Linked DNA regions of Kluyveromyces lactis. The protein of the gene in region 2 purifies or fractionates together with the protein of the main gene of each other region. This does not show direct contact. Links are inferred from orthologs where the notes say so. Each region holds a gene or a part of one and is shown on either strand. Other genes may lie near its edges.

The links.
Region 1: the proteins of YTA7 (region 2) and POB3 purify together in Saccharomyces cerevisiae (affinity purification with mass spectrometry, with the first as the bait; 3 studies listed by BioGRID). This does not show direct contact. The link is inferred for Kluyveromyces lactis from reciprocal best matches to the Saccharomyces cerevisiae genes YTA7 and POB3.
Region 3: the proteins of YTA7 (region 2) and RSC58 purify together in Saccharomyces cerevisiae (affinity purification with mass spectrometry, with the first as the bait; 3 studies listed by BioGRID). This does not show direct contact. The link is inferred for Kluyveromyces lactis from reciprocal best matches to the Saccharomyces cerevisiae genes YTA7 and RSC58.

Annotation. Positions count from the first base shown.
Region 1 is NC_006038.1:445,355-448,392, forward strand, and holds POB3 (FACT complex subunit POB3), read left to right. Parts: upstream 1-777; coding exon 778-2,445; downstream 2,446-3,038. Other genes in the region: DAK1 (dihydroxyacetone kinase), read left to right, coding at 1-335. UniProt on the Saccharomyces cerevisiae protein: Component of the FACT complex, a general chromatin factor that acts to reorganize nucleosomes. The FACT complex is involved in multiple processes that require DNA as a template such as mRNA elongation, DNA replication and DNA repair.
Region 2 is NC_006037.1:857,094-860,855, reverse strand, and holds the start of YTA7 (chromatin segregase YTA7), read right to left. Parts: upstream 2,399-3,762; coding exon 1-2,398. Other genes in the region: GOT1 (Got1p), read right to left, coding at 2,767-3,161, 3,350-3,377. UniProt on the Saccharomyces cerevisiae protein: Functions as an ATP-dependent nucleosome disassembly factor that helps evict canonical histone H3 from the 5'-end of genes upon their induction.
Region 3 is NC_006042.1:1,593,526-1,596,659, reverse strand, and holds RSC58 (Rsc58p), read left to right. Parts: upstream 1-895; coding exon 896-951; intron 952-1,170; coding exon 1,171-2,623; downstream 2,624-3,134. Other genes in the region: ATP-dependent RNA helicase ECM16, read left to right, coding at 1-579; putative divalent metal ion transporter SMF3, read right to left, coding at 2,952-3,134. UniProt on the Saccharomyces cerevisiae protein: Component of the chromatin structure-remodeling complex (RSC), which is involved in transcription regulation and nucleosome positioning. RSC is responsible for the transfer of a histone octamer from a nucleosome core particle to naked DNA.

The DNA.
Region 1 (3,038 bases), on a different chromosome or scaffold from region 2:
AAGGAATTATTGAACAATGCGGAGAAAATGATGCGGTGGACAAAGAAGCCTTCGCCAAATCGCTAGAAGTTGCATACGAGACATTGTGTAAATATACTAGAGCTAGGCCAGGTGATTCTACTATGATCGATGCCTTGGAGCCATTCGTGAAAGAGTTTAGTTCAACTCAGGACTTCCATAAGGCCTTTTCCAAGGCGGAAGGAGGTGCAGAATCTACAGGAAACTTAGAAGCCAAGTTCGGCCGTGCATCTTACGTGGAAGACACTGAAGCAATTCCGGACCCAGGAGCTATCGGTTTGGTCGAATTCCTCAGGGGTGTTGATTCCAAATTGTAGATTCATTTTCAAATGAGCTGCCTCCTTTATTCTTTCCACCTAGTTATTATTTTATAACAAACTATATACAGCTTCCTACATTAACCAAATTTATGACCTAGCGGTAATTGCAGTATCATACATTGTTCCTCCGGCAACAGGGGGGTGGGCCTCGACCTGATAGTTCTTCGTGTGTAAAAACTGTCTCTTTTCCGTTCACTCCCCCATCTTACCTCTTGTCAACGTGACGCGAATTGGAAACTTTACTAGAAATGAAAATGAAAAATCGCCAAAGTGTTTAAGATGTTGTTAAAACATGAACAAATAAGAAGACATATGAAACCGTTAACGGTAGGCAGAGTTGTTAGCCCATAGTTTACGTTAGACAGGTCAGTATTACTGAAATCTAGTGATCTTCGTCTTGGATACCTACTTTTTATTTCTTATATTGGGATAGTGGAGAATGAGTACAGATTTCGATAGAATTTATTACAACCAATCCAAGCTCGGTGGACGTTTCCGTCTAGCTGAAGGAGGTCTTGGTTGGAAGGCATCCGCTACAGGTGGGTCAGCCTCTACTCAAAATAATGAACCTTTGCTATTGGCTGCAGATGAGGTTTCTTCCGTTCAATGGAGTAGAGGATGTAGAGGCTACGAATTGAAAATTAGTACTAAGAATAAGGGATTGATTCAAATGGATGGGTTCCAACAAGAGGATTTCAACCTATTGAAGAATGACTTCCAACGTAGATTCAACATGCAATTAGAGCACAGGGAACATTCTTTACGTGGTTGGAATTGGGGTAAATTGGACTTAGCTAGAAACGAAATGGTTTTTTCATTGAACGGTAAGCCAACTTTTGAAATCCCTTACACGCACATCAATAACACTAATTTAACAGCAAAAAATGAGATTGCATTAGAATTTGACACCCAAAATGAGGCATATAATCCTGCAGGTGATGAACTTGTTGAAATGAGGTTATATGTTCCAGGCACAGTTGAAGAAAATGAAGATCAAGATCAAATCATGGTAAAGGACGAAGCAGAAGCAGAAGACGGTGTTAAGTCGGAGGTTAAGACGGAAGAGGGTAGTGAAGAACCAGACGTTCAAGAAGAGAAGACTTTAGCAGAATATTTCTACGAAGAATTGAGATCTAAGGCAGATATCGGTGAAATTTCTGGTGATGCCATCATTTCTTTCCAGGATCTGTTCTTCACTACGCCAAGAGGCCGTTACGACATTGATATCTACAAAAACTCTATCAGACTTAGAGGTAAGACTTATGAGTACAAGTTACAACATCGTCAAATAAACAGAATCTTCTCTTTGCCAAAAGCTGACGACATCCATTACTTGATGGTTTTATCGATTGATCCACCAATCCGTCAAGGTCAGACATCCTACCCATTCTTGGTGTTACAATTCCAGAAGGACGAGGAAACAGAAGTCCAACTAAATGTGGAAGATGATGAGTTCGAAAAGCTTTACAAGGATAAACTAAAGAAACAATACGATGCTAAAACTCACATTGTACTAAGTCATGTCTTAAAGGGTTTGACAGGAAGAAGAGTCATTGTTCCTGGTGAATACAAGTCTAAGTATGACCAATGCGCGGTATCCTGTTCATACAAAGTCAATGAAGGCCACTTATACCCATTGGACAATGCGTTTTTGTTCTTGACGAAACCAACCCTATATATACCCTTCCAAGATATTGCTGCGGTCAATATTTCAAGAGCTGGTCAGACATCTACATCAGCCAGAACATTCGATTTGGAAGTTGTTATGCGTGCCAATAGAGGTACTACTACTTTTGCTAATATTTCTAAAGAGGAACAACAACTTCTAGAGACATTCTTGAGGTCCAAAAACTTGAGGGTAAAGAACGAAGATAAGGAAGCAGAACAGAGACTGCAGACTGCCTTCGGCTCAGACAGCGATGATGATGATGTAGATATTAACATGGGTTCTGCAGGTGAGGATGAAGAATCTGTAGATGAAGATTTCCATGCGTCCGACGAAGATGACGATGTCGCTGAAGAATTTGATTCAGAAGCATCCGCCTCCGATTCAGAAGGTGAAACCTCAAAGTCTGAAAGACCTTCCAAGAAAGCCAAGTTGGAATGAAAAACTCATATATCATGTATTAGTACAAATAAATAAATAAAAAACTATATACACTCCTCGCGGTATTTGTCGAATAATGTGTCTTTCTTTTGTTTGATTGACTAGTTCTTTAATTTTTAGTACATCTAAATGGCTTGACAAAAGAATAAGGGTCCCATCCAGAGAACTAAACTTCAAAGGGTTGAGAGAAGGATAATTTTGCTAAGCCCGTAAAAGTATCGACTGCTTTTTTCATGCTTCAATCATTTAATGGTTCTGTAAGAGTTATTCTATGACTTCTGGTGAAAGATCCTTAAATCAAGAACTAGAATGATGAAATGAATGCACAAAGAAATTTTGATCCAAGATAACTCGCTTCATACATTCGAGGTATATTAGATATTAGTATGATAGCTACAGACGGTACCTTAACTATAGAATATATCATAGAGATTCCTGGAGTTGACGAATTGTCCGGGAATAGTTTCTTTTTCACTATAAGAAAAGATTCATAGCTAAACGACAATGAAGGGTCGGAATTGACTTTGAACTCAGCATGAATGACTCAGGATGACATGACAAATATAGATAAATACATGGCAAGCGAGTTTGGT
Region 2 (3,762 bases):
CTGCTTCCATCGTTCTACTACTCTCCGATACCAAGGTAGGAATGTCAAGCATTTGAATATTGTAATCTTCCAAAAAGTGTAGTGTGGCGGAAGCGATATATTGTAACCCGTTACCGGGCGGGCCTGTGATCAAAAGTTTCGGTTTGCAGACACGAGATTTCTTGATAAGTTTTAAAAATTCATGCTTATCGAATCCAGTACCTTCTTCGTCATCAGAATCCTCAAGATCCTCATTTTCTAAGTAATATTGAATAATGGAGGAACCCGATTTCAATTTTGTGCTTTGCTTGGGTAGTAGTAAGTTGAGCTGATCCTTGACGTTAATAAATTGTTGAGCGAGGAGCGGTTCAACATATTTTGGTAAAGGCTGCGCTGTAGAGCCAGTAGCTCTAGCAGATGATGGTACAATCTTTTCTAGTGCAAGCATGAAGTCTCTAGCCTTGACTCTAACTGATTTAGGATCAATCTTTAGCTTTTCTTCACTTTTATAGATTTGTGGAAACTTTCTTTGGATACTGATCAAAGATGCTTCTGTACAAAGTGCTCTTAAGTCAGCACCACCGTATCCTTTAGTTAAGGAGGCTAGCTTTGAAATAAATTGATCTGAAATAGGTGGATTCCATTTCTTGGTGTGAATATGCAAAATTTTATCTCTAGCCTTCAAGTCTGGTAGAGGGAAATAGAACTCACGGTCAAATCTACCTGGTCTTCTTAAAGCAGGATCCACTGCATCTGGTCTATTCGTAGCACCGATTATAATAATCTGACCTCTATTATCCATACCATCCATCAATGCCAACATTGTCGACACGATACTGGCATGGATTTGTTCCTGTTTGGAAGATCTAACTGGAGCCAACCCATCAATTTCATCAAAGAAAATGATTGCCGGTTGATGTTTCTTTGCTTCTTCAAACAATAACCTTAATTGTCTTTCAGCTTCACCAACCCATTTGGAAAGAATGTCAGCACCCTTCCTCATGAAGAAAGTGATCTTTCTCTTCTCATTTGAGCAACTTGCGGCCAATGCTCTAGCCATCAAAGTCTTACCTGTACCTGGTGGGCCATGGAACAAGACACCACGAGGTGGAGTAATATTGAAGTTTTGATAAAGTTCTGGGTACAACAATGGCAATGCCACCATCTCCTTTAATTGGTCAATGTAGTTATCTAGACCACCGACATCATCAAAATTAATGTTCATATCGACACCAAGTGGGTCCAAATCTGCAATTTCCGGTTTCTTTTTCTTCTTTTGTTTTGATGGATCCTTTGGTTTCGGTTTCATACCCAAAGCTAAGATTTCGTCATCGGATGAATCAGAATCCAAAAATTTGTTTGACTGTTCGTTTAGAGCGTTTGGATTAGAGTTGTAGAATTGAACGTTTTTACCAAATATCGCCGTAACATCGTTTCCACCAAATGGACCACCGGTAGGGAATAACCTTCTAATAGGTCCAAAACTTTGACCCGAATGTAAACCACGTTTACCTCTTGGGGACTGATAAACGGATGATTGGTATGGAAGTGTTCCTGGAGGTATTCCTGGCACCGAAGTAGCTTCCATAGCACCAATTTGATTTTCAGACAAAGGTGGTGGGATCGTGTAATTTACTGGTTTTGTACGTTCTCTCAAAGACCTTTTCTCTCTGATAGGACTGTCCTCCTGTAATTCTCTAATTTCGTCCTCAAGTGTAAGCGCTTCTCTAGTACGTGCACTTGCCGATCTATGACGACCGCTACCTACCGTATCATCGTCGTCTTCATCGTCATCTACAACACGAGACGATCTGGTTCTATGCGGCCTTAACTTCCGAGGAGGCTGTTCCCTACGCGTACTTCTTGCTGCAGACCGTTTTGGTCTTCTTCCACGTCTCACAGTACCATCGTCATCCTCTTCATCCTCATCTCCATCATCTTCATCTTCATCCAGATCCTCTTCCTTGATACTATAATCTTCATTCCCATCAGATCCATCCTCATCGTCCTTGACAATGAAATTTTTATCTCTTCTTCTCGCTATCCGTTTGCGATCATCTGCTGGGTCGATATACTCATCGCCGTCATCAACATCGTCGTCGTCATCGTCATCATCGTCTACATCTTCCTCGTGGAACGAAACGTCATCATCGTCGTCATCATCACGAACCCTCTTGTTCCTCTGACCGGGACGCCTACCACGACGCCTACCAGTACCGGTATCTGAATAGTTAGCACCAACGGCGGCTGTTCCTCCAGAATTCGTATCAGATTCCTCGATATAATCGTAACCATTCTCAATCTCTGCGTAGTTAACTTTTTTCAGCAGCCTCGGTGTGGTATGAGCAATCCCATTATCATCGTAAAACTCAGTATGAGTGCCAGATTCATCGTCACCGCTCTTGCTATGGAGCGTCATTTTGATTCCTTTGATCTAAACTTCTAAAAGGCTTTTCTTATTTTGCAGTTTCGGAACTGTAGAAATCAAAAAGAATGCGACAGAGACACACAAAATTCACCCCACAAAGTCTCTGATTTAATGAATAACAATCGAACCTAACCCAATTGGCTTGTCTAATGGCCCAAAACGCCAATTTGATCCTTAAAAGCTGTGTTTAATGCCGTATATTATCGTTATAAATCTCTGAACACAACTTAAACTGGTTCTGGGAGCTTTTTGGTTTTGTTTATTTAGAGGTATATTCAGGTAGGGTAATCGACATATTTTGGACAGGGTAACCATTCCCGAATACAGCTCATATATATATAGATACACACACTCACACATCACACAGGAAGCACTGACACACCAGCTATACGGTCTAGGACTGGTGCAATGGTAGGGTGAGACAGTACTGGTCCGATTATAGGAATGGACCTCAGCAATTGGAGGATCACGCCGAAAAAGTCGCCGAATAGACCGACTATACCTAACGATTCGATGATGAACCCAAGGAACGTCCACTTACATAAGATCATGAATATCCCAAACACGAGAAACAAGGTCCCACGTCTCTTTGTCGGTCTAGTGAAGAATTTGAGAGTCTTGTGTGGGCCTATCATCAGCAGCACGCCGAGTAGGAACAAGATGTTCCCAACAGCCAATAGTGCTCTATCGAAGAAGGTGAAGATACCAAAAAGGAAGAACAAACATCCACCGAACGTGAACACAGCACCGAATTCTGGGGAGATAAGTGGGATTTCAAGATTTTGGCAAGTACTGTAACAAAAGTGAGATAGAAAGACGGATTGAACAATCCGTCTTTCTATTTCCCTTATGTTCGCATGAGTTTACTGGCCGATCTCAAATAACAAATGTTAGTAAAGGGAAACCAAAAATAATAGTAAACGCATACATGGTTTAACATACGCTGTGACTCCGATAGCCAACTACTCATTGTTATGTGCTATTGTTGCGTGTATATCAAATACTATGAGCATATATAGAGAGGCAAACAGTGCCTATCTTGATGCGTTAATGTGCACATATTTACTGCGCTCGTCCAGAAGCCCATCGCTTTTCGCGATTGGGCTTCTGGACTGAAAAGACGTGAAGTGTTACCCGGTCATTGTGTTTTCCGGGTAACGAAAATCGTTCGAGGCTTTGAATCAGCAAATTTACCGGCCGTTGCTATTAAGTCCAATGGTTTATACCCTTGAAGCCACCATTACTATACACCATTTAGGGTTCCTTTTTCCACCTTAGAGCCGTGGATTTGCATGTTATTGCGTGGATATGATGGTTCACTCATCTGCTAGACGAGTCATGGATATATAAGACAC
Region 3 (3,134 bases), on a different chromosome or scaffold from region 2:
CAAATCAAATTACTCAAGCAAATGATCACAGCAGGATTTATCGACCAGGTGGCCGTTCGCGCAGACCAGTTATTCCCGGAAGACGTTACTATCAACAAAACCAACATTTTCAATATCCCTTATGTTCCAGTCCTTGCTGAGAAAACATCTTCTTTGGATGATATCTTTGTTTATATTCATCCAACCTCAATTCTCAACAATTCTGGCGAGCAACCTCCGAAATACTTGGTTTTCCAATCACTACATGTCAATAAAAATAATGAAAAGGCGAAAACAAGGATGAAGTCTCTTTGTGACATTAAAAGCACGCCATTGGCTAACGTTGCAAGAAAGGGCTCGTTACTCACTTACGGAAAACCAATCACTGGACAAGGTTTGAAACCTATTGATTTATCGCCAACAGAAAGATTCTGCTATGTTGTTCCTAGATTTGGATCTTGCAATGATAGCGACATCAAGATTGGTTGGGAACTCAATCCTATCCCTGTTCATCAAGAGAAAGAGAAAGGTGTATGGACGGTCAAGAAATTCCTTACTCCAAAAGCATTTAAAAACTATCAAGCTTCGAAAAGACCCTAGAACTACACCAGTACAATTTATAGAATTAATTAACTCATATAATACCAATTGCATTGGAATAATTAAAGGCCAATACCTAGCTTGTTAGGCTATGACTGGGTACTGTTGCTGTGACAGGAATCTCTGTAAAAGCTGTCAATGGATGCCAGTTGGATCATGATGTACGGTTTTGATGTTTTTCATAATGAAAACACAGGTTTTGGCGCAGGTTGATCAATAAAGGCTTCTTACATTACTGCTGAATGACAAACTGATGGGCAGTGAGAGAGTACAAGGTCTGCAAACTCTTTTATAGTGGGCTAAAAATAAGTAAACAATGGTAGAGCTGCTAAAAGAGAATTTTTTTCAGAACTTACTAACTGTTTTAAAAGGGTATGTGAATATAAAAACAACACATTTTTCATTCGAATTATGTTGCATTCGCACATGTTTTTGTCTAGAATCGGTGATAATAATAAATTAAAGACCAGCATACGATGACCTGGGGTTCCTCAAGTCTTTATTTTATGTTTTCAGTGTTAGATTTGCCAAAGCATGATTTTATTTTACAATCAAATACTAACAGTATTAATTTTATTTTGATTTAATTAGTGCATCTTCGAAATGCAGAGCTTTAGATGAAAGGTTTCCTAAAGAATTCTACGAGCCTGATCCAACACACATATACGATTCTTACGTGAAGTTTCTAAGGGCCAAGTTTGATGAAAATCCAGATATCAAAATAGCAGAAGATATTGATTCAATTTCCATATCTGATAAATTTGCTAGTGGAGATTACCAGAAGCATGAAGATTCTGTTTATCGGATTTACCATGATATTAAATTAGTATGCTCCATTTTAATTCACTACTACTCTCAAGGAACGAGGTCGTACCAAATGGTCGACAAATTCTACAAATTTGCAGCAGAATTGATTCTAAGGGAATGTTATAGAGTTGGAGCCAAACTGGTGGGAGACTTCGCGGCAGACATTGACTTCAAAGAAAGTGATTTTTCAAAAACCATTTCCAATGATTTCCTTAAAATTAGTCAAGTTTATCAGCTCCCCGTTACTGAAACTTACCATACGCAGACAAAGGAGGGACATTTGTTCAGTTCGGTGATAACGAGGTCAGTACTTGATCAGAGGCCAAAGGAAGTACCATACGAGGAATGTGAAATTGTGAAAATTATTCCTCAAGCAACATCCCAACCAGCCAATAGATTGGGATTCGTAGCAGCTAACACTTCCAATGTTCCTGATCCAACAATTTCTCCTACAGAAATCATGACCTCCTTTCTGCATCCGAATTGGTACCCGCTACCCACTACTAAATGGTTGGAGTATGGCGACTATCAATCTTTTGCTCCGAGTATCTCGGAGTTCAAGTCTGTAACAGATTGTTCCCGTAAAGGAGACATATGGTTGGAAAAGGTCGGATACAAAAGCTGGTTAGAAATAGAATCGAAGAAGAGAGGGGCTGCGGAAGCAGAAGATAAAAATGTTGAAGATGAAAAAATAAAGGATGAGGGTATTGAAGATCAAAAGGTTGAGGAAGCAAATGACAGTATCGGATCTGACAACCAAAAAAAGGAATCAAATGAAAATGATGAAGAGCAGAATGTTGCCACGGATGAAGAGCAAGATACAAATGAGGAGGGAGATGAAGTAATAGTGACAACGGAGCCAGCTGGACCTGTCAATATTAATTTGAAAAATCTTTATGACTGGCAACCTAGCCATGAGATACATGATGAAGATATAACGGCTTTTGAGCAAGGTGAACAGCAAAGGTTATTGACAGAGATATTGCTAAAGCTAAAGGCATGTAAATCGAGAAGGGTCAAGCTGAACAAGATATCAAAACCAACAAGTGAGGAAGTTTCCCTTTATCATAGAGCACAGAACATCTTGAAAGAAGCTCTACTTTCTAAACAGATTGTGACATCTCCAAAATTGCACGAGAAACATTTCCCAGTCCTTCAGACTAATTATGCCGGATCAGTTCCTGTCGTCAAGACCATATCGACTAGAAAAAAGAAAAGTAAGAAAGTTATGCAGTGAAGTAGATATTTCCGTATAGAATCTATAAATCGCAGCTGTGGTAGTGTGCAATAATCTGTGGGGCTAGTTTATTATCAGTGATAGCTAACGGTTACTATTATTTGGAGTTATTTTCTGAAACCATCAGTGTTTCGATTTTTTTACTTCCTCAATTACTTTCGAAGGTAAATGTCCAAGAACAATTAAAGATTATATAAAGAACAAAGAAATTAACCACAACAAAGGTACAAGAGAAGAGATCAACAAAGCAGATCCAATAAGTACAATTTACGAATTGATTATAGATTAAACAGAATCCATCAAAACTATATAAAATGCCTACTTAGACTTAAAAATGCACGTCCGCTCCCATGAGGTATGAAAATACAAGATAACAATTCAATGAACCAATTGTCAACCATATAACAAATGAACTGATGCTCAACAGTCTTCCATTGGTGTAGTCAATGGACTTAACGCCTTTCGATAATAATCTACTTTCTTCAGTACTGTCTGCAGATGCGGGTGCAGA